Macaca mulatta: one gene and its partner. The protein of the gene in region 1 purifies or fractionates together with the protein of each later gene. This does not show direct contact. Links are inferred from orthologs where the notes say so. Each region holds a gene or a part of one and is shown on either strand. Other genes may lie near its edges. The genes, in order: TJP1 and OCLN.

Region 1 (6,893 bases):
ATCCCTCAGCACCACACCTAGCCTCCGGGGCTCAGGAGTCAGCCTCTGGCTGTGCGACTCACACTTGGGCCTCGACTCCAGCACCAGGACAAGTTGAGCTGGGAGAGGGCTGTTACACCTTTTTTCAGAAAGGTTTTTAAATGCTTATGTTTGTTTTTCAGGTAATTCAGTGTCATTGGATTTTCAGAATTCCTTAGTGTCCAAACCAGACCCACCTCCGTCTCAGAATAAGCCAGCAACTTTCAGACCACCAAACCGAGAAGATGCTGCTCAGCCAGCTTTCTATCCCCAGAAAAGTTTTCCAGATAAAGCCCCAGTTAATGGAACTGAACAGACTCAGAAAACGGTCACTCCAGCATACAATCGATTCACACCAAAACCATATACAAGTTCTGCCCGACCGTTTGAACGCAAGTTTGAAAGTCCTAAATTCAATCACAATCTTCTGCCAAGTGAAACTGCACATAAACCTGACTTGTCAAAAACTCCCACTTCTCCAAAAACTCTTGTGAAATCGCACAGTTTGGCACAGCCTTCTGAGTTTGACAGTGGAGTTGAAACTTTCTCTATCCATGCAGAGAAGCCTAAATATCAAATAAATAATATCAGCACAGTGCCTAAAGCTATTCCTGTGAGGTAAGACTTTTGCCTTTGCTCAAAGCATTGCCCCTGTGATTTTTCTCATGTGAGTTTGTTGTAGTTTATTTGACTTGGGACTTTGAAGTGATCTTTTTAACTCAACCTTTAAACTGAAGAGTGTTGTTGCAATGAATGCTGTTACATAGAAGGTCCTCCAGGAGTTACAAGATGTTGGTAAAATAATAAAGCTAACAGTCATGTATGGTTGGTAGGTATTGTCATCATCCCTGTTTTACTAAAACTGAGGTTGAGTGACAGTAAGCAGATTGCCCAGGGTCACACAGCTCGAGTGAGGTGAGCCTCGATTTAGCTGCTGGTCATCCAACCTCTGAGCCCATGCTTTTTTTTTTTTTTTTTTTTTTTTAAAAAAGACAGAGTCTCCCTCTGTCGCCCAGGCTGGAGTGCAGTGGTGCGATCTTGGTTCACTGCAACCTCCACCTCCTGGGTTCAGGCGATTCTCCTGCCTCAACCTCCTGAGTAGCTGGAACTACAGGCGTGCACCACCACGCCCAGCTAAATTTTTTGTATTTTTAGTAGAGAGAGGGTTTCACCATGTTGGTCAGGCTGGTTTTGAACTCCTGACCTCAACTGATCCACCCACCTCGTCCTCCGAAAGTGTTAGGATTACAGATGTGAGCCACCACACCTGGCCTCTTTTTTTTTTTTTTTTAATCAAGACAGAGTCTCGCTCTGTCACTCAGGCAGGAGTGGCGTGATCTCAACTCTCTGCAACCTGCAACCTCCGCCTCCCAGGTTCTAGCAATTCTCGTGCCTCAGCCTTCCAAGTAGCTGGGACTACAGGTATGCACCACTATGCCCTGCTAGTTTTTGTATTTTTAGTAGAGGCGGGGTTTTGTCATGCTGCCCAGGCTGGTCTTGAACTCCCAGGCTCAAGTGAGCCTCCCAAAGTGCTGGGATTACAGGTGTGAGCCACTGCACCCAGCCGAGAACCCATACTCTTAACCAGCCATGGCCTCTTGTATTCTCCTGACCTGCTGTTAAGGGGCATGTGGAGGACATCTAAAAACGTTAAATATCTATGTTCCTCTTTCATTATTTGTTCCACAATGATGCTAAGAAGAAAAATAGAATAGCCCTGACTGTTTAAAGAGCAGCAGTTAGTAAGATGGCTGAGCAAATGAGACAGAGCAAGCCCTCCTGGAGCCTCCCTGCAGCTCCTCTTTCCTGTCTTTCATTCCGTGGCGATTGCCCGGATGGATTCTGGCCACACATTAGCTCATCTCACCCTCCTACAGCCAGTTCCATTTTCATACCACCGTAAAGCAGAAGCAGTTATAGGCAGGGAGAACCAAAGGTCAGGATGGCCACCTGAGGCTGCTTTCCGAGAGCAAGGATGGTTATGGCGGTCACTGCCTTCCTAGCTCTGCACATCCACCGGTGGTCAGGGACAGACACAGTTGACCCCTGCTATGCAGCTCAGGCTGCACTCTGCTCCCTTGATATTGTGCCGTAGGATGTCGTCCCTGGCACTCCGGTCATGCTGGAGTGAAGCTGCAGCTACCTTCATGTGATTCTGTTTTGTTGGTCTTTCTGCTCACCTTTAAGCCCTGGCTCAAAACTGTCCTTCAGGAAGTCTTGATAGCCTCTATTTTTGAAGCCGTCATTGATACCACATCCCCTTTGCCTTTGGTGTTCTGTGATTACTAAGTTAATCTACTGTCTCTCTTTTTGTGGATGTTTGGGATGTGCCCATACAAGGGTCTTCAGCTCATGGAACCTTGGAAGCCTTGCCTTCTGCAGCAGGGTGGGCACTTGGTCCTCAGGGATGCTGAGGCAGGACCATATTCATGTGTACTTAAAATCCTAGGGAGATGTTATCAAGTCTGAGATGCTGTCAGCTGTGAGATGCACCATTGTTTTGTGTCACTAAGAATGGAAGAACAGCCGGGCACGGTGGCTCATGCCTCTAATCCCAGCACTTTGGGAGGCTGAGGCAGGTGGATCATGATGAGATTAGGAGTTTGAGACCAGCCCGGCCAATATGGTGAAACCCCATCTCTACTAAAAATACAAAAATTAGCCAGGCGTGGTGGCACATGCCTGTAGCCCCAGCTACTCGGGAGGCTGAGGCAGAAAAATCATTTGAACCTGGGAGGCAGAGGTTGCAGTGAGCCAAGATCGTGCCACTGCACTCCAGCCTGGGCAGCAGAGTGAGACTCTGTCTCAGAATAGTAATAATGATAATAATACTCTCTGAGATAACCCTGTCAGTAAAATCTGTTGCCAGAAACTTACCTTGTTAAAGTAACTTCTTGATTATATGGAGAAACAAAAGTAAAATGAAAGCACGTAATACAGTAGTAGTAAAAGCAAAGCACCTGTGTACTATTAGGAATTCACTCACTAGCCATTTCTGAACTTTCAGTCCTTCAGCTGTGGAAGAGGATGAAGATGAAGATGGTCATACTGTGGTGGCCACAGCGCGAGGCATATTTAACAGCAATGGTGGCGTGCTGAGTTCCATAGAAACTGGAGTCAGTATAATTATCCCTCAAGGAGCCATTCCCGAAGGAGTTGAGCAGGAAATCTATTTCAAGGTCTGCCGAGACAACAGCATCCTCCCACCTTTAGATAAAGAGAAAGGTAAATGTGTTTATTTTTCTCCTTAGTTTTGATAACTTAAGAGTTGCCCTGTGTGCACTTCAAAGCTTATAGTGCTTGGCTAAGGGGGTAATGCAGCACCTCTCTCTGCCTCCACCCTGGGCCACTAATAATAGCATGTTCCTTTCATCAGGGAGGTCCTTTCAGATGAGTGCTGTAGCGAGGGGTGCCCTGGGGATGGTGTTGCAAGCAGGCAGGAGGTGGCCTGAGGCAAGGCTGTGGTGGCCACACCGCCTGCTTTTACTTTTGGTATGAAGTAAAAAAATGATGGCATAGGACAGGCCACGGGGTGTCTCTCACTTGTGCCTGCTGAGCAGCCTGGGCTGACCTGACCAAGTTTGTCTTTGAGTCCGTCAGCCTTTGGGTCTCTGGAGATGGGTTAGGTAACACCCACTCAGAAAGGCTTTGCTGTGTCTTCACCTGATTGGAGAACCTAAACGTCTTGACAGGTACTGTCTTACCATCACCCCAGAACCCAGCACTAGTACATGCTCGGCAGAGTGCACGGAGTCTCAGAGGAGACGACAGTATGTTTCTGAGCTTCTTAAGGAAACTGTTATTTTCATAATCCTCCTGGATCTATCAGGATATTGTAACGAACTGTGTCGTGATTTAGCATCTTTTAGCAGTGCTTTTACTTTCCTAAATCAGTTAACACTTTCTTACGTTTTGCCAGAATACTGATATCTGATTCTGTACTCTGATTTTGGGGATATCCTGTTTTAAAAACCAGTAGGACTGACTGTGTTGGCCCTGCATGAATCCTTTAAGCATCTATGGAGCAAATTTTAAAAATGGAAAATATGTCACATTTGTAACAAGTACATTTGAATATGTTTTATACTATAGACCCATATGATTGAATGCAGTAGCCACTACCTGCACGTGGCTACCTCGCACTTGAAGTGTGACAATTTTGGATTGAAAGATGCTGGAAATGTGAAATAAACATCAAGTTCCAAAGATACCATATATTGGTTACATGTTGAAATAACAGTGTTTTGGTTATATTGAGTTATAATACTATACTATTTGTTATCACCTGTTTCTTTTTACTTTCTAACGTGGCTACTGGGAAATTTAAAATTCCATATGTGTCTGCTGTTACATTTTTTTTGTGGTCAGTGCGATTGTAGAGAACTAACTGCATTAGGCTTTCAAGCATATAATTAGAAGCAGGGTGAGGAAAACTGGGGGTCTAGAAGAAAGACCACATCCAACCTCTCTGCCTATCCCCTTTTCCAACTCCAGGTGAAACACTGCTGAGTCCCTTGGTGATGTGTGGTCCCCATGGCCTCAAGTTCCTGAAGCCTGTGGAGCTGCGCTTACCACACTGTGCGTCCATGACTCCTGACGGTTGGTCTTTTGCTCTAAAATCATCCGACTCCTCGTCGGGTATGCTGTCTTCACTCTGTCCTTTGGGGCTTTGGGGACTGTCGTTGATTAATACCTGGGCTGGTGATGCTACCCATGCTGTGTGTTAGCAAATCTCTCCCTCTGTTCCTGTGGCCTTGTAGGCATCACCGGTATTTCCACATTTATTTATGGTGCATATATTGTAAATAAATTCCATGGAAAGATAGAAGAGTTGCTTCCTTTTAAAAATTGATCATTTGGGCCAGGCGTGGTGGCTCACGCCTGTAGTCCCAGCACTTTGGGAGGCCAAGGCGGGTGGATCACCTAAGGTCAGGAGTTCGAGACCAGCCTGGCCAACATGGTGAAACCCCATCTATACTAAAAATACAAAAATTAGATGTGTTGGCACATGCCTGTAGTCCCAGCTACTCAGGAGGCTGAGGCAAGAGAATTGCCTGAGCCAGGGAGGCGGAGGTTGCAGTGAGCCGAGATCATGCCACTGCACTCCAGCCCGGCCAACAGAGCGAGACTCTGTCTCAAAAAAAAAAAAAAAAAAAAAATTTAATAATTTGGCCAAATAATTGAGTATTTCTTGGTATTCAAAATGATTGATTCTGTCCAATTTTTCAGGATGCAGTGGGAGAATTGTTATTGTCCTGCACAAACAGGCATTTTTATCTTATTAAAATTAGTTCATTCCTTTCTATAACTATTTATATTTTTGGTTACTGTTGTTTCGTTTCTTTTTTGTTTGTTTTGTTTTGTTTTGTTTGAGACGGAGTCTTCCTCTGTCGCCCAGGCTGGAGTGCAGTGGCACGATCTCGGCTCACTGCAAGCTCTGCCTCCCAGGTTCAAGCGATTCTCCTGCCTCAGCCTCCCGAGTAGCTGCAATTACAGGAGTGCGCCACCACGCCCGGCTAATTTTTGTATTTTTAGTAGAGATGGGGTTTCACCATGTTGGCCAGGCTGGTTCGAAATCCTGACTTCAAGTGATCCACCCGCCTCGGCCTCCCAGCGTGCTGGGATTACAGGCGTGAGCCCCTGCACCTGGCCTGTTTAATTTCTTAATCTACAAAGTATGTATACCAGAGAAATTTAAAAGAATCTTCCATTGTGATCATACTTGGCCATGGTTTTTCAGTGTAATACTCTAAATTGCTTCTTTTATACACTATTTGTAAACAACTTTTTGCTCCTAAGATCATAATTTCAAAGCTTCCATTGCATTTTCACATTTCTCACTTCCTTGAGTGACTTAAGTCAGTTAACAATCAGAATTTTATTTTAGGTGTAGATCACTTTAAGCGAACCTGATTTAAAGTCCTGCTTCCAAATCTTTGATAAATCAGACGAGCATTATTTAGTTTTAGTTTGGTACAGTATGAAATAAAAGTTTGTGGTATAAAGATCATAGCAAGAGCATATTTTAATGTTACCAAAGAAAAAAATTACTTGTAAATACATATTTCCTCATATTTACAAGTACCGCATTTTCTGGAAAAATGAAATGCTTTTGGCTCCAGATATTGCTTAGGTAATGTCTAACATACTGTAGGCAGGGTTCTCAGCTGGCACTGTTGACATTTTGGCCAAATGATTATTGTAAGGGCTCTCCTGTTCATTGTGGGATATTTAGCAGCTTCCCTGGGCCTCTACCCCTAGATGCCAGTGGTAACAAGCAAACTGTCTCCAGATGTCCCATCTGGGGCAGGGCCGTTCCTGTTTGAGAGCTATTGCTGTAAGGGAAGCAGAAATCCACAGCTGTGACTCTCAGCTTGTTTGGATACCACAGAGACACATACTTGTCCCTGCCTTCTTCACATTTAATAGAAATCACCAAGAGCTTATTAAAAACTTAAATCCTGAGATCTAACTAACACCCTGTCAGTGAGTTTCTGAAGCTGCGTGATTAATTTTGTTGTTCAGCTGGAATCAGAGCTGAGCAGCTCTGGTGCAGTCTCGTTTCTTTGTTTGTTTTTTGTAAGGGGAAAGATGGTCTTCAAGAACTAGATTCTGCAGAACTGGGTTTCTCATTTGTTGGTCTATAGTTGAGTATGAGAAATGTGTCCTCATTCTCAGCTCAAATAGGTGACCATATAATTATCCTGCAGACTTTTGAAAGGGGGGAAAAAAAAGTGCTACTGATAATTATGTGGGCTCGGGTAAACTGGAACTGTCCCAGACATGAGATTGCCGTCACTCACTTGTATTCGTTTTTTGAAAAGTCAATGCACTTGATAATGTAATAAAGGAGAAGTCTGAAAGTTTGAAAAAAG
Region 2 (7,645 bases), on another chromosome or scaffold:
AGCTTCTAATCATGGGGTTCTTCTGAGAATAATATTTACATTGCTCTGAGTCATGGGGATTTTCATTAAGTAATATCCAATAGTGGATACTACTCAATACTAATGTGAGTTGCCAAGAAGGAATATTTGGTAACAATATAGTAGTTAAATTTTGCTATAATTTATGATTATGTAAATTTTAGATTAAATTGAGCATGGCATCATTTAACATCCAACAAATTTTGTTTTGGTATTGAAGAATGATGTGTTTAAGTTTTAAGGCTGGATTTTTCTTTCTAGACACTTTCAACTACCAAATATATACAATATTGGGCAATAGTTAACTGTTCTTTTGATGCTGTGTTGTTTAGAAAATTAATCTCAAGCGAATAAAATAGAATTCATATATTTCAACTTAATGAATCCTATTATTCCATATGGATGAACTCAGAACTAACTAGAAAGTAAGTTTCACAGAGATTTTTGAGTTTTGTTCACTCATGTGTACAGAGCACTCAGAAAATAGTTGAAGGAATGAATTGGGAAAGCAAATAAAATATGAAAGCTAACCTTCTACCCAACACAACATGTCTTTGAGTTTAGGTTTAGGGTGGGAATAAGCAAAATAACATGATATGCATAAATTATTATCTTAAAATGATAAAAAGTTTAATTTAAAAACCTAATTTACCAAGAGAACTGAAAACATACATCCACAAAAAAACTTGTACACAAATATTCATAGTAACATTATTCATAGCATCCCCAAAGGAAAAACAACCCAAATGTTCATCAACAGATGAATGATTAAACAAAATGTGATACATCGATACAACGGAATATTATTCAGTTATAAAAAGGAACAAAGTACTGATACACACTACAACATGGATGAACCTTTAAAACATTATGCTAAGTGAAAGAAGACAGACACAAAGGGCACATATTGTATTATCCATTCATATAAAATGTCCAGAACAGGCAAATTAATAGAGACAGAAAGTACATTAGTGGTTGCCGAGGGATGAGGGGAGAGGGGAAATGGAGAGTGACTATTAATGGGCATGGGGTTTCTTTTGGGGGTGATTAAAATGGAATTAGATGGTGGTGATGGTTGTACAATCTGGTGAGTATACTAAAACCCACTGAATTGTACGTGCCCTTTAAAAGGGTGAATTTTATGGTATGTGAACTCTTTTATAAAGTGGAAAAAAACTCCTAAGATCTCCTCTTCAGAACATATCAAAATACATTATAAAATAATGGACATGTGTTTACAAATCTGAGAGTATTAGGAAATGTTCCCTTGTTTAATTATAAACCAAGTGGAATGTTTGGAGATTTCAGTAATCTGACAGGGAACATTAAGAGGATTAACCTGACTTCCCCAGTGTTAACAATACCAATTTAAACTGCATCATTCAAAAACTACATAGTCATATTAAAGCATTTGTGGCAATGACTTCCACGAAAAAAATACCAATTAAATTAATTACTCATTAAAGCTGTCATCATCTGAAATACCTCATATTTACATGGTGCTTTTACTTCCTTAAGTATGAATTGTGCCTTAAGATCTAATGTATGGGAGAGTCACATCTCCAACCATTTAATTAAAGGTAGAGAAGTGGGTGGGATTGGATAGAAATTTATTAGCAATGCTGACATTCCAGATTGGAACGCAAAGACAAGCAGGATTTAAGAAACCTAACAGTTCGCTTTCAATGCAGGTAGTTAAATGCCAAGAACTATAATTACCTCATCCTGGAGTACAATTTAAAAATATGTTCAAAAACAACAAACATACATAAAAACATACACAGTGTTAAGTGCAGACTATGAAATTTCCTTTGGAACCATAATCCAGATCAAGAAATAGAATACAGCACCCAGGACTAAGGTGCTTTTTCGTTTTCTTAAAAAAATAAACAAATAAACCAGGTTTATTTTGCTTTTTAAGTAGGGTTCTTAAAGCACTACAGGTTGGTAAACAAAGTATAAGGTGCTTTTTCTTAGGCCAAAGAGCCATAATAGTTTAAATCTCCCCGTCCCCAAGAGCGGACCAGTTACATTTCGGAACGGGTGGGCAGGGGAGGACCCTGAGGTGGTGATGTGTAAACTGTGTATTATGCACTTTAGCTTGCTGGACGGCAACTAACAGCTACAGTAGTTCACCCTCATTTTATCCCCACTAAGTAATTGTCTTATTTCTGAATCTAGAGATTCAGAAATAGCGCCAATATTTACACACGAGTTTTGAAATTTTCCCAGGAGTCTTTCGTGGGAGCAACACATCTAGATGCCTTTTTCCAGCAACAGTTCAATCAAATTTTGGAAGCAGAAAAGTGTCCCGAGAGGACGTGCCTTTCCTATCAAAGTGCTTAGTGCCTAGACCCTTTCCGGAGGAAACAGTCCCCTCCGGACCTCGTTCGACGTCTCTCCGTCAGACACCCAAGGTTCCATGTGAAGCAGGCGGAGCACCAAACGCACCCCTAGGTGGTCCAGGACCCCCATGCGTGCTGCCCCCTGGGAGCCCGCGCTGCTCCTCTGCGCTCCGCCCCTCCGGCCGGAACATCGCGCGGTTCCTTTAACAGCGCGCTGGCAGGGTGTGGGAAGCAGGGCTGCGTCCTCCCGCCCCCTCCCATCCGAGTTTCAGGTGAATGGGTCACCGAGGGAGGAGGCCAACACACCACACCTACACTCCCGCGCCCACCTCTCCCTCCCTGCTTCCTCCGGCGGAGGCGGCAAGAACCGAGAGCTAGGGTCAGAGCGCCGAGAAGCCCGTCCGGGACGCAGCAGGTGGGTCTCTCGGGGCTGGCCCGCAGGCTTCCCGCACCCCCCTACACGTTGGTGCGCATGCCCGGGGGCAGGGCCGGTTGTAGGGAGAAGGGGGAGGAGGGGAAAGAGAGAGAGGAGGGGGAGGAGACGTCCCCAGCCCAGTCCCTGGCTGCGCGCTGGCGGTCGGCGCGGCGTCAGGTGCGCCCGCCAGGTGAGCGCCCTCACTGGCTCGGTTGGTCCCCGGAGGGTCGGGCCCAGGTGCGGCCAGTGGGTGAGTGTTGGGCGTGGCGTCAGGGGCGCACTGGAGCCCCCAGGGTCCCCGTGGGGGGACCGCGGCGCCTCTGTTAGGGGAGGTGCGGGGGGGAGGACGCTCCGCGCTGGTTTCGGTGGCAGTTTCGTCCCCGGGCTGGGACTCGTGGGAACCGGAGAGGCGCGGGTCTGCGGAGAGAGCAGCACCGGCCAACTTGGGAGGCTGCCTCCCCGGGCAAGGGGCGGCTTGGAGCCGCCGATCAAGCTTTATTCCGCGGAGACGCTTAAAGCTAGCAGTGCCTCAGCGGCGCGGGCAACTTTTCACTTTTATGAGGCAGGACATTCCTGAACAGCGACGATCCTGCATCAGCTCTGGGGCTGCAGTTTTGGGGGGCGGCCCTCATGGAGAGGGGTCCTGCGCCCAGCTCGTTGGGGGTCCTAAGCTTGAGGCTGCAGCGAGAGACTGCTTGCTGGTCCGAGCCGCTTAGATCCCGGGGGGAATTTCATCCCTTCGGCTCCCACCCCACCCCACTCCTTTGGGTATCCCGGGGAGACGGGGGCTGGATTCAGTCTGTGAAATATTCCGGGAGTCACGGTGTGGGCCACACTGGCTACCTCGAATCCACTTGTTGGGAGTTGTGTGAACCCGCGCCGATTTAAGCTGGGGTTCACGGAGTTAATTTCGAGGGAAGCTGCTCACGCTTGGGATTCTCACCCGTGACCAAAAGGGCTGCCGCCAGGGGGGCGGAACTGCCTCCGGGCGGTGCCTGCCCAGCGAACGCAGGCGCGCGCTGCCCGGGAGCGCCTCGGGGCGCACGGACGCCGGGATCCGCGCCCAGCCGGGCCACGGAGTTTGGGGACCTCCGGGACTGGGCCGGCCATCGCGCCAGCCATGTTGCCTGCGTGGAAGGAAGCTTGCGGGGAGCGGGGGTCAAGGGCCAAGATGGCCTCTGCGCCTAGGGGTTGGGAGCTGCGCCGAGGTCTTCGTGCTCCTCGGGAAGCCACCGGGCCCGAGGGGAAAACCGCGGCATCCTCAGGCCGGACCCGGGGCTCGCGGGCTACACTGCCCGCTTGGGGAATTATCCCGGGCGAGGAGGCGGCAGCTTTCTAGGCCAGTTAGTGTGTGGCCCTTAGGCAACAGGTGTATTATTGGAATACCTGGAAAAGAGAAACGCTTCCCATGAAGGCACTTATGGTGATTTAGAAAACTAGGCATTCCCAAGTGTAACAATAATTCTTTTGCACTGTACGTATGAGTCTTTCTTTTGTTTTTATTATTATTATTATTTGCTTTTTTGAGACGGAGTCCGACTGTGTCTCCCAGGCTGGAGTGCAGTGGCGTGATCTGGGCTCACTGCAACCTCTGCCTCCCGGGTTCAAGTGATTCTCCTGCTCAGCCTCCCGAGTAGCTGGGATTGCAGGCACCCACTAGTATGCACGGCTAATTTTTGTATTTTTAGTAGAGACGGAGTTTTGCCATGTTGGTCAGGCTGATCTCGAACTGCTGACCTCAGGTGATCCACCCGCCTCGGCCTCCCAAAGTGCTGGGATTACAGGCAGGAGCCACCACGCCCAGCCTTTATGAATATTTTCTTAGTGGTGCTTTTTGAGTGTGTGGGGGCGGCACAGATATTTCCTCAAACAAAGCAACCCTTTTTTTTTTTTTTTTTTTTTTTTTTGTCGTTTTGCAATTTATTTAGTTATTAGGGGCCTCCTTTGTTAGGTGATGGAGCGGAGGATAGGGAGGTCGTTAAGACATGATTCTCCACCTTTTGGCAGCTTCCAGGCCATTTCGGGAAATAATGGGCAGTGTCTCCTGCACGTGAGGCACTGTGCTAAAAGCATTCTGTATTTTCTCATTTAATTATCCCAACAACTCTAAAAGGCAGACCTTAGTAGAACTCCGTTTTAAAAGCGGGCATATGCTGTGGGGGAAACGTGTTGCATGGGCTTGCCTGCAAACTGCTTCAGCTAATCTGGGAAGGAATATCAGAAGCAGCGGTCCTTGATATTCCAGAACCAGATTTGGGGGATTTTTCTGGACCTTTGTACCATTGACTAGTACCTGTAGCCTGATACAAGATTTCCCGCATTTTGCTTGATGTCATGGTAAAATTCTTTTTTCTTCTAAAGGTAATGTTGGAATTACTGCCTTTCCAAAATAATAGATTACTTTTAACCACATAAATGATCTGATGTAATATCTTTCACCTTCCCAGGAACGTCCCAGAAGGAAGTTTTCTTCAGTTGCATTTTAAGGCTTATTTGATTGGAATATCAGTGGATCTTTTTCATCAAATTACTATTTATAGAAATAAGAGAGTAAACAGACCATGTAGATTTCTGTTAGGCTTTTCGTTTTAACCCCTAGGCTTGCCGCTGTTCCGTAACCCAGTGATTCCAGTCTTGGCTGTAGTATGAATCACCTAGGGATCTTGTTAAAACACAGATTCTGATTGGGAGGTCAGGAGTGGGACCTGGGATTCTGCCTTTCTAACAGGCTCACAGGTGATTCTCAGACTGTTCTGTCCTCTTTTTCTCCCTTTCTCTTAGACTCTACTCAATTACATTTGACACACTGAAGTTGGAAATAAAGGAAAAAAAAATGCGTTTATTGGGTGTTGATTGGGTGTTGTGTGAAGAACTTCAAGGCATTCACTGCTGGATTGAAATCCCAACTCTAATAATTGACTTGGTTTTATTAATTGAGTACTCATTGACAATCACTTTGTGCCAGGGCTAGTTTCAGGGACCAGGGATATAAATGGTGGTCAAAATAGACATTCGATGCCTGGGATGCAGGCATTCCAGATGGGGTGGAGATAATACCTAAAATAATTTTAGGTATGAGGGCAGAGGAGAGTTTGCTCTGAAAAAACAAGTTTTGTGTGATGGAGTGAGGGACTGGGAGGGCATCTCCCAGAAGGTGGCATCTGAGCTGAGATGTGAACAGCAGGTGTCTGCTGTGTAAAAGATCTGGGCTTTTTAGACAGGAAATTGTAAGATCAATGTCCTTTTTGGATTGACACCATTATTGTAAACAGCAATTCTCAAAATATGTGGTGTGTTAAAAAATCACTTGGAAGGTTTATTAAAAATACAATTTCTGACACAGTCTATTACAAAATCTGCCTAACTTCAAATTTTTAGACAATTTAATGATGTGCCTATAATCTAAATCATTTAATATAAGGCACAACTTAAACTTTTTAAAGACAAATTGACAGTTACTGCATGTGCCCTAAAAGGAACAGACTTCTCTTAAATATGTTTATTTTTCACTTATTGAGAGTTTTCTTTAAAGAATAATTTGAGGGCAAAGCATTTTCAGTCTATTTTTTTCTACTATATATATATATATATATATATATATATATATTTTTTTTTTTTTTTTTTAAAAGATGGAGACGGAGTCTCTGTTGTCCAGCCTGATCTTGAAGTTCTGGGCTCAAACAATCCCTCTGCCTTGGCTTCCCAAAGTACTGGGATTACAAGTGTGAGCCACCTCACCCAACCTCAGCCTGTTTTTTTCATCTTAGCTTAGTTTTCCATTAAGATAGCTTTTGGTCAGTAAACATTGTCAAGGGGAGAATGCTTTTTATATATTATCATTAGCTCAAGATGCTGGTTTTCAGATTAACATATTTGACAAGGATCTGCTGCTTCCCTTTTGCCCCTGACTCTCATTTAGCTATCTGACTTCTGTCCTTGTCACTCTTGACATAAGTTCATGTAGTTAATAAGTGGTCTCTTCATTCCTCATTTTATTTTTTCCTTCACTCAACACATGTACAGATTGTTAATGTTGCTGTGCTGGGCATTGGTCCTCTTTCACCTTTGGCTGCCGGCCTTAAAGCACAGTCACAGATTCACTTTGAAATTTCAGAGACCTTAGAAGTCCTCCAGTCTGGTCTCCAAAAAAATATCAAATAACTTAAGCTTTGCATAAATTGCATGAGCTCAATTTGTTGTTCGTTATTTTTGGAGGGGGTGTGGGGTCAGGGTGAGGGAGAGGCTTCCTAACATGGTGGTTTTTGGATTTTTTTTTTTTTTTTTTAACCATTTCTAGGATAACAAAGACAGCTCTTCAGATACCTCAGGGCTACTAAAGTGATTCTTCTAATGTTCAGTTCTCCAGGCCAAACATTTCCTGTTTTTCTAATTGTTTGTCTTAAGACATGGTTTTTCTAGATTTTTTTTTTTGGGGGGGGGCCAGAGTCTCACTCTGGCTCTCACTCCAGGCTGGAGTGCAGCGGCACAATCTCAGCTTACTGCAACCTCTGCCTCCTGGGTTCAAGCGATTCTCCTGCCTCAGCCTCCCAAGTAGCTGGGATTATAAGCCCAACTAATTTTCGTATTTTTAGTAGAGATGAGGTTTCACCATGTTGGCCAAGATGGTCTCGATCTCCTGACCTTGTGATCCACCTGCCTTGGCCTCCCAAAGTGCTGGGATTACAGGCGTGAGCCACTGTGCCTGGCCAGCTTTTCTAGATCTTTACCGTTCTTAGTCACCCTCCTGGAGAGGCACGTAGTTTAGAATATGATGTACAAATCAGGTTTTGTTCGTTCTTTTTAATAGCGTATTATTCCTAGATATGAGCACTATTTCTGTGAATAAAGTTTGGGATCGCTTGTTAGC

The links.
Region 2: the proteins of TJP1 (region 1) and OCLN purify together in Homo sapiens (affinity purification with western blotting; 4 studies listed by BioGRID and IntAct, with this or other methods). This does not show direct contact. The link is inferred for Macaca mulatta from reciprocal best matches to the Homo sapiens genes TJP1 and OCLN.

The regions. Positions count from the first base shown.
Region 1 is NC_133412.1:8,709,973-8,716,865, forward strand, and holds part of TJP1 (tight junction protein 1), read left to right. Parts: intron 1-161; coding exon 162-636; intron 637-3,025; coding exon 3,026-3,243; intron 3,244-4,512; coding exon 4,513-4,656; intron 4,657-6,893. UniProt on the Homo sapiens protein: TJP1, TJP2, and TJP3 are closely related scaffolding proteins that link tight junction (TJ) transmembrane proteins such as claudins, junctional adhesion molecules, and occludin to the actin cytoskeleton.
Region 2 is NC_133411.1:77,573,327-77,580,971, forward strand, and holds the start of OCLN (occludin), read left to right. Parts: upstream 1-2,552; 5' UTR 2,553-2,778; intron 2,779-2,917; exon of another isoform or gene 2,918-3,028; intron 3,029-7,645. UniProt on the Homo sapiens protein: May play a role in the formation and regulation of the tight junction (TJ) paracellular permeability barrier.